Linked DNA regions of Drosophila melanogaster. Changing the gene in region 1 together with any one later gene gives a genetic interaction. Each region holds a gene or a part of one and is shown in the gene's direction. Other genes may lie near its edges. The genes, in order: jeb, cnk and rl.

Region 1 (4,953 bases):
GGCGGCGAAAGGTCCTGGCCAGGCTCAGCTGTTTGCCGTCGCCTGTAGAGTTTTCCAAACGAGCCGGAGACTTTCGGGTCGTGCAACAAATTGAGAGGCCAAGCCGGCTTTTTGCATGTAGACTTTCAAACAGAGAGATATGGCTTGGAGATCGAAATAATATCGAATTTAGTTATATTACAGCAGTAAAGCAAACATTATGGTGAAATACTAAATATAGTCATGTAGGAGTTTACAAGCGTACATTAAGTTTATCTTATAGCCCTTTCTTAATAAATAATTAATTTACTGTATTAACTTAATTTTCTATGTTCAGACTTGATTGATAAAATATTGCTATGAATGACTGTATTCTCCAGTTGTATTCTCACCTTCTTTTTACGCTCGACTCCGAAACTTTTTCGATTATACATGGCGACTATTCACCTTTTCGTCCATTCAAAACTCTCCACACCGTGGAACAAGTCCATTCACGTAGCTTAAGCTCGCGATTCAATTTCACCTCGGCTCGGATATCATTACGTTGGCACGGCGAATATATTATAGCTCGCTCGTAAAACGTAAAAGCCACAGACATTGTGACGACAAAAGGACTCGTCTTCGTCCTCGGTCTGCCACGCCTCCCCACCCCCGCCCCCAGCCTTCAGCTGTTTGTTGTGTGCAACAGCAAGAACAATGGCAAAAATCGAAAAACGAAAAGCGAAAAGCGGGCTGCAAGCAACGATGACGCCTCTGCCACAGGACATTCTCCTTCATTCATGTTGGCTTACACCCGAATCGAAGGGTCCTTCGGCTCTGCGTCCTCCCCTTTCCCGATTCGTATTCGGTTCGCCAGCTTTAATGACTTGCAATCTATGTGCTCATTTTTATTCACAATATATCCTCGGCGCTGCTGCTGCGTGAGTTGTATTTTGCCAGTAGATATATGTACATGTAGGTATGTATGTACGTATCTCGCCAGTGTGGTTGTCAATCGTTTTCGACTTTTGAAATGTAGGGGAAATGTACCGCTAGTTCGTTGGGCGGTCGATCGGCATATTCCATAAGAAAGGGGCTTGTAAATATCACGGGAAATGTACTAAGTTATCATAAGTTATGGCACATAAGTTGTTGCCAAATCTTTTGCACTGGCTGTTATGATCAGAATCTATTATAGTTATTATAACTGCATTTATATATCGTGACTTCATTTAGTTTATTTGGTTTCTACTAACCGTCTTTAAGTATTGCAGTATTAATTTGTTCAATAATTAGGAATATATTTTACGGTAATTATGACGAACATTAAAATGAAAGATTTCTTAAAAATGTGGTTGTTAAAAAGGTTGTTAAATGTTTGAAACTTATATACAAACATCTTCTGTTACAAAAGGGTTACAAAAATGTTGGTCGACATGCATTAGGTAAGTGATTTCAGTGAAAATCCCATTAGTTGCCCATTAATGAAATCACAAACCTTAGCTCGGGAGAAACCAGATTTGTGGTATCACTTAATTTTCCCACAATTGATTTTTTCCGGCAAGAAAACACAACGCGATTCCGGGTAAGCCCAGTGAAAAGTGCATTCAGTGATTGAATCCTCGGCTGTTGTTGGGATTAGTGGAGCCACAGCTGATGACAGCTAAATGGGATTACCCAAATTCGAGTCGAACTGGGGAAATGCCCCGCCGGAACGAAGGACTCCGATGCGGATGTTGAACAACCCACGCAAACTGGCGACCGCAAATCATATGGCATCTGGGAAATGGAAAACAGGGAGTCAATGATGCCGGTAACGGTGCACAGTGCGCAGTAGCAGGCACTCTCTCTCACTTTCTCTCATCCCGTTAGGCTTCGGGAAAAACTCTACACATGAGGCTGGTTGAAAACAAGTGGTTGAGCGGCCGCAGTGCTCAGTATAGAGCGAACAGTCGTTTCGAGCTCGAGTTTTTCCCGCTGACCGAGAGCACACAAGCTGGAGCTGAGGAAGCCCAGAAGCAGCAGTAGCAGTAGCAGCAGGAGCAGCAGGAGAAAGCAGAGAAAGCGGCGAAAGGAGCAGGGAGCCAGGAGCCAGGAGCCAGGAGCACGGAGAAAGAGCAAGGAGAAAGGAGAAAGGAGCCAGAGAGAGAGAGAGCGGAGAGTAGCCAGCCCAGCAGCCAGCGGTTCGTCCGAGGAGTGAAATTCGAGGCGGGGCGTGCAGGGAGTGGGTGTACGAGTGCGACTACGACAACGACTGCCACATAAAGTGGAAATCCGAAACGCCTTGAGGAGCGGCAGCGACGTCGACGCGGGCAGCGACAGCGACCGCGACGCCGACCGAGGCAGAGGCAGTGGCAGAGGGACACGCGTCAGGCGGCCAAGCAAAAGGCAGACAAACAGGCAAATCCTGCTGAGACGACACGACGAGTCCTTGCTCGTCGGTTCAAACGTGCGGAACACTCTTGGAGCCAGGCGATAAAAAAGAATATAACAAAAAAAAAAAAAAATATACACACTAGTAGCAAAGCTAGTCCACTAAAACATCACTCACCCAGAACAAGGGAAAGTTTTCACACCACAAACGAAAGCTGAATAACAACACAAGAAAATTATATACCCAAGAAACCAAAGTGCCGCGAACAAAAACTAACTAATAAGCCTAAGGTCTAAATCGAAATCGAGTGGACTGGCCAGTGAAAAGAAGAACGCCAAGTTAAGTGCCCGAAAAAATATACAGATAATATCGAAAAATAACGAAACCATAAACAACGGTCGTTGCAAGGCATCCACAAAAACGCGATAGCCAAAAAGTTTGAAAAAGAAAAAAAAAACACACACACACAAATTTGGAAAAGTTCGAAATTTTCGAAAAAACTTCGTTCGGTGCAGGCCAGTGTAGTGCAATGCCAGGCTTAGGCCGGCACAGTGTTGGTCAGCGGTGTGGGGCCTGAAGACCCACAAAAGCCGTGTGTGCAAAGCATCGAAAGTCCAGAGAGAAACATTGATATCGGGACTTTCCCTCACCACCATTCACCGCCACCAGCCCCGAAAAACCACCTGCCACCAGTCTCTATAACTCCCGCCCCCACCCCCAAACACCATCCCCCCGGACTAGCAAACTAACTGTATTTTCCCCTTGGTAAACCCCCTGGTAAACCCGAAACCGCCAAGATAAGCCGTCTAATCGAGAAGCTGCGCCAGACCAACAAACGGAAAATGTTCTGCTCGCTGGCCCAGACGCTCTTCTGCGTCCTGCTCATACAGGGCGGCCTCTATGCCCTCCATCTGAGCGGAAACGGAAATGGCAACGGGAACGGGAATGGGAACGGCGAGAAGTCGCTGGGCGAAGCCAAGGCAGTGCAGGTGCCCAGTCATCCCGTTGGACCCTCGACGGGAGTAGCCGCCGCCTGGCAGACCGCACCCTCGCAGCAGCAGCAGCACCAACAGCATCCCGGAGGATCTCCGCCCGGCGGTGGATCCTCGCCGCATGGCCATCGGTCCGCCGCAGCGGCCGCCTTCGATGCCACCACCGTGCGGCTGAACAAGGAGATAGCGGATATGGCCCAGCTGGAGCGAGAGCGACTAATGCTCCTGGCCCGCGCCAAGCAGACGGCGGAACAGCCGCCGGCGGGCAGTAATCATCGCGGTCATCCCTTCATTGCCGGCCGGATACAGATGCAGCCCAGCGAGGAGCTGGAAGTGGGCGACTATCCGGCGCTGTTGCAGCAGGCCGCACGGGGCTACATCTTCGGTAATGTGCAGAAGCAACCACCGACGCCGGTTACCCTGGAACAGGATTATGAGCAGCTGAGGGATCTGGAGAATAGACCCGTTAAATACTACGGAAGAGTGGTGCAGCCAGCGGAGAGGGAGGAGCAGGTGGAGGCTCTCTACGAACCGCTGCACTCGTTCGGCGACTTTGATGACTTCTCGGAACTGGAGCAGGAACCGCAGGAGCCGCACTTGGGCGAGGATGAGTTGCTGCGTGAACTGGATGCCTATCAATATCACGGCCTGGAGGACGAAACCCTTCCGGAGAATCCCTATCGCACGCTGGAGCAATTGGAGCTGGGTGCACCCGACTCCCTGCAGCAGCTCTTCGAGCAGGAACAGGAGCAGCGAGATGCCCCCTTCAAGGCGATGCACACCGGCAAAATCCACAACCCGGGCAACTACAACATAAGGGTGCAGCAAAAGTGGGCGAGGAAACGAAATGGCCAGGGCATTGCCCATAATCCTGAGGCGGAAAAGCAGCTGCAGCGCCAGATCTTCGCCCAGCACTTCAAGCCACAGCGCAATGGCAAACTATCGCTGTCCGCCAACTCGGAGGCCACGGCCAGCAAGCACCTGAAACCATCCACTCGCTCCGGCTCCAAGGATAACGAGAAGCCACATAGCGAGCTAGGTAGCAGTGCATCCTCGGCCGTCTCCTCCGCCACTTCTTCCTCCGGCAAACAAGCCGCCGGCGATGGACTACCTAAACAGCAGCAGGTGGAGCAACAGTCGCAGCAGGACAAAAAGGATCCCAGCCATAAGCGATCCGGTTCCGGATCGGCGGGATCCATGGGATCGCCAGGAGGCGGTTACTCAGCGCAGCCACCGATTTCACACAGCATAGCCAGCCAGCTGATGCTGCGCACCGCCCGCGGTCAACGGCAATACGATGTGCCACAAATCGGTGAGTTATACCTATAAATTCCCATTATATAGAGGCTTGAGCTGGGGTTTCAATGGTGGACTATGGGGGAGGAATCGTTGGAACCTAGCCGACTTCAACGCTGACCTTTAGCCGACTGTCTGGCATTAATTCGATCCAATCGAACATGCACCCAGCGCAAGAAATAAAACCTCAATGAAATCTAATTAGAGTGAACTTTCGAAATTCTAAAATAGTTAGTCAAAATTAAAAGCAGGAAATAGTTGGTTTGCAGCCAAGTTCTTTAGGTCATCAAATCAGGTTAGAAATTAAGAATTTTGATTTAATATTAATATGAC
Region 2 (8,033 bases), 5.3 Mb from region 1:
AACCTTTGACTGCTGATGATGCTGTTGTTGTTGTTGCTGCTGCTGTTGATGTGGTTGCTGAAGTAGCTGTTGCTGCTGGTGGTTTGCGATGGTTAGTAAACCGGCGGATGCGGCTGCAAATGCTGAGTTCGCTTTTGCCCCTTTTGGAACATCGTTATTGCTACTATTAATGCTGTTGTTGTTGGTGTTGTGGCCCGACTTGCTGCACAAAAACGTGATGCTGCTCATTTTTAGCCCGATCCCGATCTGCCAGCGATTTTGAATCACTCAGTCCGTCGGCGTGGGCGTGAGAACTTGGATGTGGAGGCAGCAAGAACACAGCAACCGGCGATGCCAAGCCAAAATGGGTCACTCACTCACACAACGCTCACGCGAATCGCCGCCGGCGTGGATCACATGTGATTTAGAGTTTTTATTTCGTACGCAGCGATTCACCTTTTGCGTTGCGGCCAATATTTATTCGATAACTAATGAAAACAAAAAATTAAGCCAAAGGTGTAGCGAGAAGTGCGAGGTGAGCGGCGTTTGGGGATTGAATGACAAGAAAAAGTGTTAAGGCAGCTAAGGTTAAAAAGCTGCGCTGCGCTGCGGTTTCCTCTGCCGGCGTCGTCTCTGCATTGTTGTTGTCGCAAGCCTTCATAGAGGTGGGCATGTGGTACATGAGGTTTGGCGTGACACGACTCAGTCGAAGATGTGCTCTACATTTTAGCCAAATTTGCATAACAAATGTCTCTTTTACTTTTGTTAAGTGAAGGATATTTAATTTGTTAGAGAAAAAAATATTCTAATTTTTAGGCGCATAAAATCATAAAATATTTCACGCTACATATACTTATACACAAGTAATTTTTTATAGCATTCCACGGATCGCACCAAAGTTATTTTAATAATGTTTCTGTGGTATGAATATTATTTTTTCAAACTGCAACATTACAAGTTACTCGCTGACGCGCCCATCCCTAGCTTGTAACTGTTCTCGCAGGGTGTTCGCTTTGCCTTCTCTCTCACACTCTCTTCCGATCCGATGCAACCGGCGACTATATCGAAATTGAATTTATCACATGTTATGCGTTTGCACATGTAGTGGTGTTTGCGAACGCAGGCCCTATGCCATTTTCCCAGCATTTATTTATATTGCGTGATTAGAGGCCCCACGACGCACACATGTAAGTAGGTACGTACGTACATACGATGAATGACTTGGAGCACATGCTCTTTAGATATGTTTGTGCGCGGGTGTGTGTGTGAGTGTGTATCACATTCTAATGACTTCTGTTGGATTTTCACACTTTACTTTTGGCCGTGCGTGAATTAATGCGGCATTAAAAAGTCGTTCGTTACCTGTCGGAGCTAGCGGAACTCGATGGGTTGTAGAACTTGATTTGTTTCGTCTGGGTCACAGACATTTCGACAAGAGAATAGTGATTGCAGCAGCCAGTTGCAGCGATTAGAAAAAAACACGCGGTGATTTACTTCGTCGTGCCTCTCCCTCTCCGAGCAAGTGACTGATTCGTTTCTGAAGGCATTGCGTTGGAAAAACGTGCGCCGCCTTCGTATACATACATATGTATACATCTACCCGAGCTTGAATGGTCAAGTAAAGTGCTAATTGTCAGCTGGGGAAAGGCACTGGAGCGGAGGGACGCTCATTGCCTTGTTTATCTCCATTTGATGCTGTCATTGAGGCATTTATTTATATGTTTTGGGGCAATTCAATTCCATTCGCAAGGCGCTCAGCTGTTTGATTGGGGCGGCGACAGTGTTGCGAAGCGCTGTTGGCTGTTGGGTTGCAGTAAATTCGAATGTGAATGGCTAAATCCGAAGCGGGGTTTTTAAATGTTTGATAATTATTACTTCGAGCTTGTGTCAATATAAGTGAATATTTTACATAAAACTTTGTGGTTTCTAAAAGATTAGCTTACAACATGATCTTTAGGTACTAACAAATAAAAGGTTGTAAATAGCGGTAGTGCTCGGAAAATATATCAACATGAGACAATTACCAATTCGATTATTTTTTGTTGGTCCTCTATCGATAACTGTTACTCTTACTCTCTTGCACTGCAAGCCAAATTCATATTAATTAAGACTATAAAAATAAACACATACAGAAACATGTGGCTGTTTCCTGGCTATCTTGGATGGAGAAAGTAGTATGTAGTAGTATCATAATTTATAGTTTTCTTTCCTCTTGTTCTGTCCCTTAAAGAAACTTTGAATAAATTGCATTTTGTTCAGTTTTAAAATGCATTAAATAATCGATTGCCACGCTAGTTCGATAGTATTTAACGAGCACCGAGTATTGTTCGAGCTCTAAAAGATGGTCACTCCGGACCAGAGAGACGCAACAATATAGCAATTCTGAACTTGGTTCGAGTGTTTTTGCAGCACGAATTGATAATATGCCGTAGGTGCGGCCCAGCGCGGATCATCAGCAGCAGCAGCGATGGCCTACATCAACATCGCCGAGTGGACGCCCGACCAGGTCACCGACTGGATAAAAGGTAATGCTCGAGGTCAAGGAAAGCGCAGCTGAGAAAAAAAAAACTGCATCTCGCAGCCACTGCCCCAAAAAGCAGCAGCAACAACAAGTGCAACAAGAATTTCCGCTTTGTTCAAGGTTTCAACAGGCACATCATAATAATTATGTTTTCCTGATTCTCGCAGGTCTGGATGAGTCTATGAAGGGGTATTTGTACGAGTTCTCCAAGCAGGAGATCGGCGGACGGGCGTTGCTCAACATACGGCCATACGAGCTGGAGAATCTGGGCATGCTGCGCATTGGCCATCAGGAGATCGTGCTGGAGGCGGTGGAGAACTTAAGAAACTTCGTGAGACCCCAAACAAATATTGTGACATACAAACCCGTTAATTGAGCTTGATATTCCAGCATTATCACCTGAAAAACGACAATCTGCAGTTCATGGCCTTGCATGTGGCCACGGCAGCTAAGAATCTGCATCGCGAACTGGCCAGGAATCATGCGGAGAGCACTAAGATCGATACCCGGATACTGCACGATATTACCAGGACGATAGCTACTCTAAAGCCATTGGTGGGCAGCCTGGAGCGAACACCGTTCCGTAAGCAGGAGATGTACCGCGAGTATTGTGGCAATGTGCTCAAATGCGGCCTGGAGCTGGCCACAATTGCCCACCGTGATCGTTTTGCCCTGCAGCCGGTGCCAGCGATTCGACAGTCAGCGGAACGGCTCGAGAATCTTGCCAACTTTGTAATCCAGGACATATCTGATCCCATGGTACTGCAGCCAGCCTCTCTGAACCTTGTCACCCTTAAAAAACGCGAATCCGAGTTGGGTTTCAACATAGAGTCCAGTTATAATGGCATTCACCGTGTCACGGATATCAAGTACAACTCGCCAGCTCACAATTCCGGAAAAATCGAAGATGGCGACGAGATTGTGCAGATCAACTACCAGACCGTTGTGGGCTGGCAGCATCGCACAGTACTGGAGCATCTGAGGGAAGCACTTCCAGATGTGGTGCTGACGGTGAAGAAACGGCCGAAGCACACAAAGATGTTTGGACAGATCTATATGCAGCCGTACAGGTTGCCCAGCAAGAAGAGGAATATGGCCGCCCGCTGGGCGGCACAGATGCCAAGTCCCCGTGCTGCATTTTTAACCCTGGACACGGAGCAACTGGCAACAGGAGGAACAGGAAGCGCGGTGCCAGATCCCAGTAAATCCCTAAGCAGTGAGAAGAGGGAGGTACTTACCAAGGCCAATCCAGTGTCCTCTGCCTCCGACTCTGATTCCAGTTGCAGTGATATTCCAACACCAACGGATCCCAAGCTAGCCGCACGGGAGATCCGTTTGTATTACCCAAAGCCAAGAGCTTTGCTCCAACGAAGAAACACTATTTGTGGATGCGAGTATCTTAGCCTGAAAAACTCGGATCTAGTCGTTCCATCGTGGCACGAAAGAAAGCCAGGAATTGGTTCGCCCACCAATTGCGACCCTGGCTCGCCCAGTATACGGGATAAGTCGATATCCTTCGGTTATGGCCTAGAGATGGCAGCAAGGCCGACCACTTGCATTGGGATTGCGGGCGATACCTCCACGGACAAGGCCAGGCGAATGTTTCATGAGGCGCGAAAACTAAAGCAGCTGACGGAGGACTCGCAGCGCGAATTCCTCGTGGATCGTTACAAGCCGGGTGTCAGCAAAGTAGTTCGGTTCGACGCCAAGGAAGATTATGTGATGAAGAATGAAAAATTTATCTGTAACGTTGAGAACACCATACTGGAGACCTTTGAACCGATTCCCTTTGCGGATGAGGGAGACGAGGACGCCTTGGAAACGCTGCGCAACTGCAAAACAGAAAACGCAGAGGAGCTCCTAGAGGCAATTAATCTGGCTACAAAAGGTCAGGACTTGCCCCTGGCCGAGGCCATTAACATGCCTTTGTTGCAGCAAGGTCGAAGGGGCCGATTAGACAAGAGTCATAGTACTCCGGCATACGATAATTCGGGTGAAGAATCGGATACGCCGCCAGCGATTGAGCCAAGAAAGGAGTTCCTGCTTGTCACACCGCCAGCACCGCCACCGCGACCCCGCAAGCAAAGGGAAATGACGCCACCGGCGGTGCCTCCACCTCCACCAAAACCAGCCAGCATGCAGCCGGCTAGTAGTATCACCAGTATCTCCATTCCCGTGCCAGTACCTGTACCAGCCGCAGTTGATCCATCGGAGATCAGTGAGCTTCATACGCCCAGCAAATCCCGGACACTGACCCTTAAAAAGAAGCACAGCTTAATGGCCAAGCGGCGGAACACAAATCTCAAGCTGTTGGGGACTGGGGATATCCAAGGTCATCTGTACAGGCGCAAGAAAAATCATCGCGGAGTGACTTACTGGGCGAGAATCTATTTCGTGATGCTGGATACGATACTGTACGGATTTCGCAGTAAGCAGAGTACCAGCGCCAGCTTGGTAATATTTTTACCGGGCTTTACGGTTTCATTGGCAAAAGAAGTGCACTCCAAACCGCATGCCTTTAAAGTTTACCACACGGCCAAGAGCTTCTACTTTGCGGCCGAGTCGCTGGACGCACTTAACCAATGGGTGGACTTCTTGCGCCAGGCTTCGCTCAAAGTGCCGCCTAGTACGGGTTCAAAAGGCGGTGGTGACGCAAAGGATTTGTATTCGGAGAACGATAGCTCAGGCGAGGAATGCGATGCCCTTGTGATCCAGAATTTAAGCACGCCCTCGCCGCAAGGCAACAAGGAGTCAATGTCCATGTCGATGACACTATCTGGCGGAACACCACCTTCCTCTGCACCCATTAAGCATGAACGCGGCTACTTGGACTCGTTTCGCAAATTTACGAATACATTCAAGAGCAGTGCAGCGAAACCGTCGAGCGACATCCCTGTGCCAACGGAGCAATACCGCAGCTATAGGAAGGTGCCAGGCGGAAGTTTTGGCATTCAGATTGGTGCCAATACACCGGGCTACCATGATCCCGCAATGCCGCCGACACAGATTCCACCTTTGGTGGGTCCTAAACTGTCGCGTAGCTCAAGTAGGAGTTCGGTGGTCAGTGGAACCGAGTCTGCCGTATCATTATCTGCTTCGATTCTGGGTCCGCCCGCGTCGCCAGCGCCAACGCCCACGCCTACAGCCACTCCCACATCGCTGCAGCATCAGAGCTCCGAGGAGAGTCCAAGTCAGAGCCAGAGCCAGAGTCCCAGTAGCAAGTCGAGTTTGAAGAAGGCACCATTCAACTTCTTGCACGCCTCAAATCCGAATTTGGTGGAATTCGATTTCCATACCTCGAAAACACTACTCCCCAAGATGAGTGTGGGTAATACACTCGACCATGGCCATAATATACAGGGCTTTGTGACGCTTAAGGATCTGATGCTGCGCAAACAGGAGGAGGAGGCCCAGGAAATGTACAACAATCGAGTGCACTTGGGTGTGGAGAAGCACAAGCACGCACGGACGGAATCCACGGCCAGTCAGCAGAGCGCCATGAGCAGCAGCGTGACAAAGCCGCTGGAAAAGTTGCCCAAGATCCAGAGCGTGAGTCTGCCCAAAACACCCGACTACGAGATCAGTTTTAAGCCTGACGACGAGAGTATTAAGAGAACCAGAACTAAGGAAGGTCAGAAGTTGCGCGACTTTGGTTACGAGCTGATATGTGGGGATGAGCCGAGCACTAGCTCCATCAGCCGGCAAGAGCACCACCATCATCATCATCATCACCAGCACCACCTGCAGCATGTGCAACAGCAGCAGCAGCTACAACATCAGCAGACGCAGCAGCAACATAGCAGCAAGGCCAAGCACTTCTTGCGCTCACAGCAGTTACAGCTCTCCAGTTTCCTGCACAAGAACAGCAGCGGCGGCAGCGGCAAGAGTTCCGGATCCGGTGCGGATCAAAAGAAGTCCAAAGGAAAGTCTAGCGGCGATCGTCGGTTTCCCTTTTCCAAGCACTCAACTGGCTCCGCGGGCAGTGGCTGTGGGCCGGGTCATGCGATGACTATGACGCTGCCGCTGAACAAGAAGTCCAAATCGAATCACGCCTTGGATGGAGCCGTAGGCAATGGAGTCACCATAATCGGCAGCGGCAGCAGCATCAAGAAAAGCCAGACGTACAATCAGGATCTGCGAGACAAGATAGTGGGCACCAAGTACGATGCGCATCGCAAGAACTCGGCCCCGATACCAATCTTTTCGAAACTCTCCATATCGGGTGGCACGCCGGCGAAGCCCTCCAAGGAGAATCGTTTCCTGGGCTCACCGCTGCTGCATCGCACGCTGTTCGGGCACCATCACCATCAGCAGCAGGCAGTAACGCCACCAAGCAGTGCGGATCCCGATTGCGATCAGGAGATCTTCTCCCAAATCACCCTGCCCACGCACAATCAGGCGGGATATCGAAGTTACCGTGGACCTGGCATACTAACCACCTCGACCACTAATTTGTGCTCGTCGGAGGGCTTGCAGCCGCCGTTGCCCCCAGCGCCACCGCCTCCCGTCAACACCAGCAGGCAGAGAGAGGAGGAGCAAGCGGAGGCAACGATATCAGAGTGTGCGGCCACCCCAAAAGTGTCCAGTTCGGGATCTGTGGATTCGAAGGCGGCAACGCCGGACTATCCAAATATGGAGTGTCCGCCTGTCTTTGAGCCGGAAATCTACTCGCTCAGCGATACCAGCTTGTCCCGCATCGTGATGCGGACGCCCAGCAGCAGTGGTGCCACCAGTGCCACCGCCAGCACCACCACCACCAACAACAACAACAACAATAATAACACCAATAACAACACCAACACCAACAGCAGTCCCAGTGGCGGCGAACACCATCAGACCTAGATGTGTGATGAAAACTATTGTGAATGCTCGCGGGGATTAGCCCCCGTTTACTTATGTATTTATACACACGCATATAGATATATATATATATATTATATATAGCGATATTCTCGTACGATTTAGGTATACAACTTGTTCATTTTGATCGTCTTCCCTGTCTGTCCACCAGAAACAAACACACGCATACCTGCAATCCCTTCGATTCGAAACCCACTTAGATGTAAATGTTTAATCTGCCTTATTTGCATTGTATTTCGGTTCTAGGCAAAATGTTTTACACATGTAGTCACGCAAGCAAAACAATGAATTATAGCGAAAATGGAGAATAACTTTAGAAGTCTGTGCATCGAACAAAGACGGTTCTTTATGATTTGCCTTTGTACGCGATTAACCAAGTTAATCCGAGCTGTTTGATTTGCTCAACAGTTTGTGTCTAGATTGCGTGTAATATACATATATTATTATGCGAAATGAGATATTATTGTAATGGCATCCAGCGACGCCAATGGAGCCAGAAATGTTGTAGCGGAATGCAAGAAATATATATATACACAATTACACGAAATATACATGCATACGAATAAAGTCAACTGTACATAATAGAATAACGATCTTTTTATTTTGGGATTTTTCAAGAAACAGGTTGTTTCATTAGAGGAGGATTGAAAATCTTTTTATGCACGCAACTTAT
Region 3 (5,033 bases), about 11 Mb from region 1:
CATCGAGCAAATCGTGAGCAACATCGGCGAGACATGATCAGTTAAAATCTCTGAAATTTCGCATAGCTGCTATCGCCACCAAACATTTCTGCTCAGTCACAGAACACACTAGTCGGCACTACACACACTGTTGGCAGTAAAATTTTAAAATGACTTAATATGATAATAATGATTATTTTTTATTTGTTGGGTGTAAGTAATATAAACATAAAAATTAACAAACGATATAGACAAGTTAATGTAATATGATTATTTTTTGTATTGGCATAAGTATTTTGACAAGCCTTTAATACCTAAATAAATAAGTTTAAGTGAAGCTGCAGCTTTTTTTAACGAGTTATTCTCGAAAGAACTTACATCTGTCCATAAAACACTTTTCCAGAACGAAATTAGTGAACCGGGGTTAGAGTTTTCTTAAAAGTTTGCATCTCTATATTCCAAAGCGTTTGAAACTAACAAACACAAACTGTAATTTACAAAGTTAAGTTAAGAAATTCGACAGGGACAGATGATCAACCGAAGTTGGACGCTTACTGTGTTCCTCCATATAATTTTACCTCACCATTACTTAATTTAAGAATGTCTTCATTTTTGAAAATAATTGTGTCCAAGGGTAAACCAAAGTTCTTAAGCATTGTTTTCCCTGACAATTAAAATTGAACAAAAGAAAAATGATAAAGGAAATTAAAGTTGAAATTTTTAAAGTAAAGATATATTTGAATTTATTTATGAGTCTTAATAAGTTCTTTCTGTGCTCTCTAAGTCCATTCACGTTGGACCCACTTCTTCTTTAATAGATAATACAAATGAATTATATCAAAATCACTGGTTCCTGCGCAACTTATTGCGCCAACAACGGCAACGACTGACGTCTGGACTGCGGCAGCGCCGACCAAACACAAGTTTTGCAGTCTGACGGCTGTTAAACAAAATCCCAAAACTCCATACACAAACTAAACTAAACTATATACTAAAACTAGACATCAACTGAGTTGGGCATTTTAAACAATGTGCTAGCTTTGCAGTCGCTCTTTGCGGTGCTACACTTGTACCCGCTCCGTCATGCGAGTTAAACTGAAATGTATTCTAAGAATGAAATAAATTGTTAATAAGGAAAAGGTCATGTTATAAAATAAACCTACATTAATTAAAAAAATTAAACCTACACTTATACCTAAAACCATGGTATTTCATTAATTCATAAAATAAATAGCTGTCATAGACATATTTTTCACGATTTCTGTAAACTTATATACTTGGCGTACGTAGCATTTACTTCGGATATCACCTTAAGAGTAACAAATATATTTAAGTACATTCGGATTTTTTAATGTAAAAATATAAAGTTTTTGACATCTGATAGTATTTTGTTTAAAAAGAATGTTCGATCATCAATCATCCTCCGTTGCAACACTGCTGAATTTTCTGTAGTGGGCAAACTACATTTAGTTAGCTGTACATTTGTATATGCTTCTGAGTAGTGAGCTGTTAAGAAATTTTATTATAATATAATAAAAAAGCAATTAAAGGATTTGTTTTCTCTTAATTAAACATTTAATTTCTGCTTTCGTGTTAATATGTATATTCTACATTGGTTTGTAGTCACGTCTTAATGGTGGGAACAGTACTTTTAGTTCCGTTTACGCTGAATTTACATCTGTTAGGTCACACAGCAGAAGATGGCACATGCCTGCTTTCTTGTTTTATTTTAATGGGCAATAATAGCTTAAATTAGGAATATAACACTAAGTCAAAAGGTTTTTATTTCTGCGCTCCCATTGAAAAATGTCCAAAAATATATTTAACCCAACATCAGGTTAATATGTGATGATCAATTTCCTCCTTTAATACCAATTTTTAAATAAAAAAATGTCTTACGCAATGACTGATCATTTTTAAATTATTATATTATTTAATATTAATTGTGGAAATTGTGGCTGCCAAAAGACTGATGTACCTTTTGGGATCCGATTATAATTGGATCGGATAAACATTGACCAGTGTCGTTATCTTAACATATTATTAATGTTTTACGCCGTCGATTTTGATAAATCATATTTACGCATTTGTCTAAAGAGTAAAAAAAAGTTGAGTTTATATATTCATATCTTAAGTTATAGACTTTTGGTTAAATTCATAATAAAGTAAATAAAGATTTTGCACTTATTGCTGTTCACTTAAATAAGATAAAGTGGGACATATTCAGTTGTAAAAGTGTTATTACAATCCACGCATACATACATTGCGAATTTTGCAGATACGGTGTATTTTGTATCATAACATCTTTAGTAGTATTTCAAGTTTTCCAGAAGAAACGTTAGTCATGGAGGAATTTAATTCGAGCGGATCAGTAGTTAATGGTACAGGATCTACGGAAGTTCCTCAATCTAATGCTGAAGTTATAAGGGGACAAATATTTGAAGTTGGTCCTAGGTATATTAAACTCGCCTATATAGGTGAAGGAGCTTATGGCATGGTTGTGTAAGTACCTAATACCTATTTTTATTTTTGAAGCCGTTTTTAATCTACAGTGTTTGCACACCTCTTTCTTGTTGTTCCTTTGTCCATTATTCATAGTTTTTTTTTTATCTTGCGGTTCTCCTTCCGAAATGCAGTAATACTCAGAACCGTGTTCTCTTGATTTTATATCAAGTAATACATTTTGTTCAAGTCCTTTGCTGTAAGTTCGCATACATGGTATTGCTGAATCAATGTTATTTTTCGAAAATGCATTAAATTTATTCACATCAATCATACGCAGTACTAAGCTGTGAAACACTTAACAACGAAATAGTTTCTCAAATTTTTGATTTCTTTCTTTTTCTCTAAACGTGGCTTAGTTTTGCTTTTTCTTTGACAAAATCAATCTTTAAGGGTCGACACAACCGAGTTTGTTTTCATGCAAAAGCCTAAATTGGCCGATGGACTTTATAAATAAAGGAAAGTCAATAGCTTCTGAGTCATATTGCTTGCTTTTAAACGCTGCGCACAAAACTTTCGTTTACCGGTCGATCGGTTGTTCAACGCAATACAATTTCTCGCTAAACTTGGATTTGCTTGTTAAAGTACTCTTTTACTCGGTGCCTTTATACCTTTTTCTAATGCTTTTGGACATAATTAGGGATTATTCATTCATTCATTAAAAGTAAATTTGGAACCTACATTTTCAAAAATAAAAAATCAACACATTTTTTAAAAGTTGCAGTTGCAGTTTTGGGCGGAGAGTGGGCATGGCAACATTTCATTTTTCAGTATTTAAAAATAAAAAATATTTAGTTGAATTATTTTGTTATATTCTTATAAAATATTTAAAAAGCGGACATTTTGTTTTTTTTTTTAGTTTCTTTTAATTTTAAATTATAGTTTTATGTTTTTTGATTAGGTTGGAGTTTTGAGGTGGGTAGCAAATGGGGTTGATTGACTGAAGAGAGCATATTTTGGGGAGGGGTCAGTTCATGTAGTGGGCATTGGTAAGGTTGGTGTGTCCAAGCCTGAGCCTTTTTATTAGGATTTGTGTTTTCTTATTGTGTTATGTAGTGTTGTAGCTTGAAGGATGAGCTCATACCAGGGAAAATTGAGAAAAGTCGTCACAGTTGTAATTTGAGGAGTGTACAAGGGCGTATCTGTGGGCATCTTTAGCTGTTTTGTCGGCGTATTCGTTGGCGGATATGCCGATGTGAGTGGGCATCCATATAAGTTAAATAATTGGGAAGTGGTTGGTGAGAGGGTTTCTTATTGTGGATAGATATTATGAGATGTTGATTGGTATTGGTATTGGTGAGGAAATTTAGGGCGGACAGGAATTCGAAGCCCGGCGGCTAAATTTAATTTTGCTGGCGTTGCTTGTTACGCTATAGCTTATTATTTAATTGGATATCGAGCCATATGTGTGGCTGCATAGTTGCAAACCAATGTATGGCCGTTACGCATCTTGTTATTCTAGTGTCTTTGATATAACATTGGTTGCTGATTTTAGTGTTCTTCTGGACCTTAAACTAAAGTTTTTCAGATCATATTTCGACTATTGTCAATAAGGCAGGGGTGTGCTTGGTTTAATAAAAAGGAGGTCAAAGGAATTAAATGATCATTACAGCACCAAAACCTTATTCATTTCGCTAGTCCGTTCGATTCTTGAGTATACGTACCTCAATCGGATCGCATTGAATCGGTCCAAAAAAGTTCTTCTTTTAAGTTTATAGCTATTTGGCTGTACAAAGGAATACTTAAATATATTCCTTATTTGTCGCTGTTCTGCTATAAAAAATCGGAATTCACCACCATATCCTATTATTTGTTCTAATTTATTTTAACAGAATGTGCATAAATCCTTAATGACGAACATTTCTTGGACCTAATCCATCTTGGGACTGTTGGAGAACATCTATGGAGTCTGCCTTAGTTATTAGGTCTTCCATAGCGATATCATTCCTAATTATTTTACATGCGTATTTTACTAGATTCGTTGAAATGTATGTGACAGGCAGAAGAAAGCGTTTCCGACCACATAAAGTATATATATTCTTTATCAGGATTAATATCACACCAATTGTTTTCTTTGCAATTTTTTTTGCCTTTCTTTTCTTTCTTATCTTTGTTTTCCACACCAGAGTTATTTGTAATTTCTTTAACTACATAGCACAAAAGTTATTACTCTTTGCATGCCACTTAAATTATGAGTGATTTTGTAAATAATTCCTACTAAGCCCTAAAAATTGTCCCAGGGTCCTGTTTAACGAAATTCATTTCTGCGACGACGTTGTATTATTATAAATGTTTATTTTAAAATAATATTTCGCGAAATATGTGAGTGTAATATTAAACTTAAATGAGTTTACAAAAGTTTGTGGTGGTTCCCTGTGTTGATCTCAACACCGACTGGACACATTAATTGTATTGATCTCCATGCTCTCTTTTTTCACGCTCTCTTGTGGCGTTATTAATAACATGGTTTACTATACATTCATTTACTATATTCATTAAGCGTTTCAAATCATAATGTATTTCTAATGAACCCGCTGCTTCTTTTTTTTTCT

The links.
Region 2: of jeb (region 1) and cnk, changing one suppresses a phenotype caused by changing the other (phenotypic suppression), as found in Drosophila melanogaster (one study listed by BioGRID).
Region 3: of jeb (region 1) and rl, changing one suppresses a phenotype caused by changing the other (phenotypic suppression), as found in Drosophila melanogaster (one study listed by BioGRID).

Annotation. Positions count from the first base shown.
Region 1 is NT_033778.4:12,116,282-12,121,234, reverse strand, and holds the start of jeb (jelly belly), read left to right. Parts: upstream 1-1,894; 5' UTR 1,895-3,174; coding exon 3,175-4,636; intron 4,637-4,953.
Region 2 is NT_033778.4:17,413,882-17,421,914, reverse strand, and holds cnk (connector enhancer of ksr), read left to right. Parts: upstream 1-1,907; 5' UTR 1,908-2,446; coding exon 2,447-2,504; intron 2,505-2,667; coding exon 2,668-2,831; intron 2,832-2,890; coding exon 2,891-7,342; 3' UTR 7,343-7,945; downstream 7,946-8,033. Other genes in the region: l(2)k01209 (lethal (2) k01209), read right to left, coding at 1-228.
Region 3 is NT_033778.4:1,069,959-1,074,991, forward strand, and holds the start of rl (rolled), read left to right. Parts: upstream 1-2,016; 5' UTR 2,017-2,087; exon of another isoform or gene 2,088-2,292; 5' UTR 2,293-2,323; coding exon 2,324-2,481; intron 2,482-4,313; exon of another isoform or gene 4,314-4,383; coding exon of another isoform or gene 4,384-4,406; intron 4,407-5,033. UniProt on the Drosophila melanogaster protein: Serine/threonine kinase which acts as an essential component of the MAP kinase signal transduction pathway to regulate proliferation, differentiation and effect cell fate decisions in various tissues.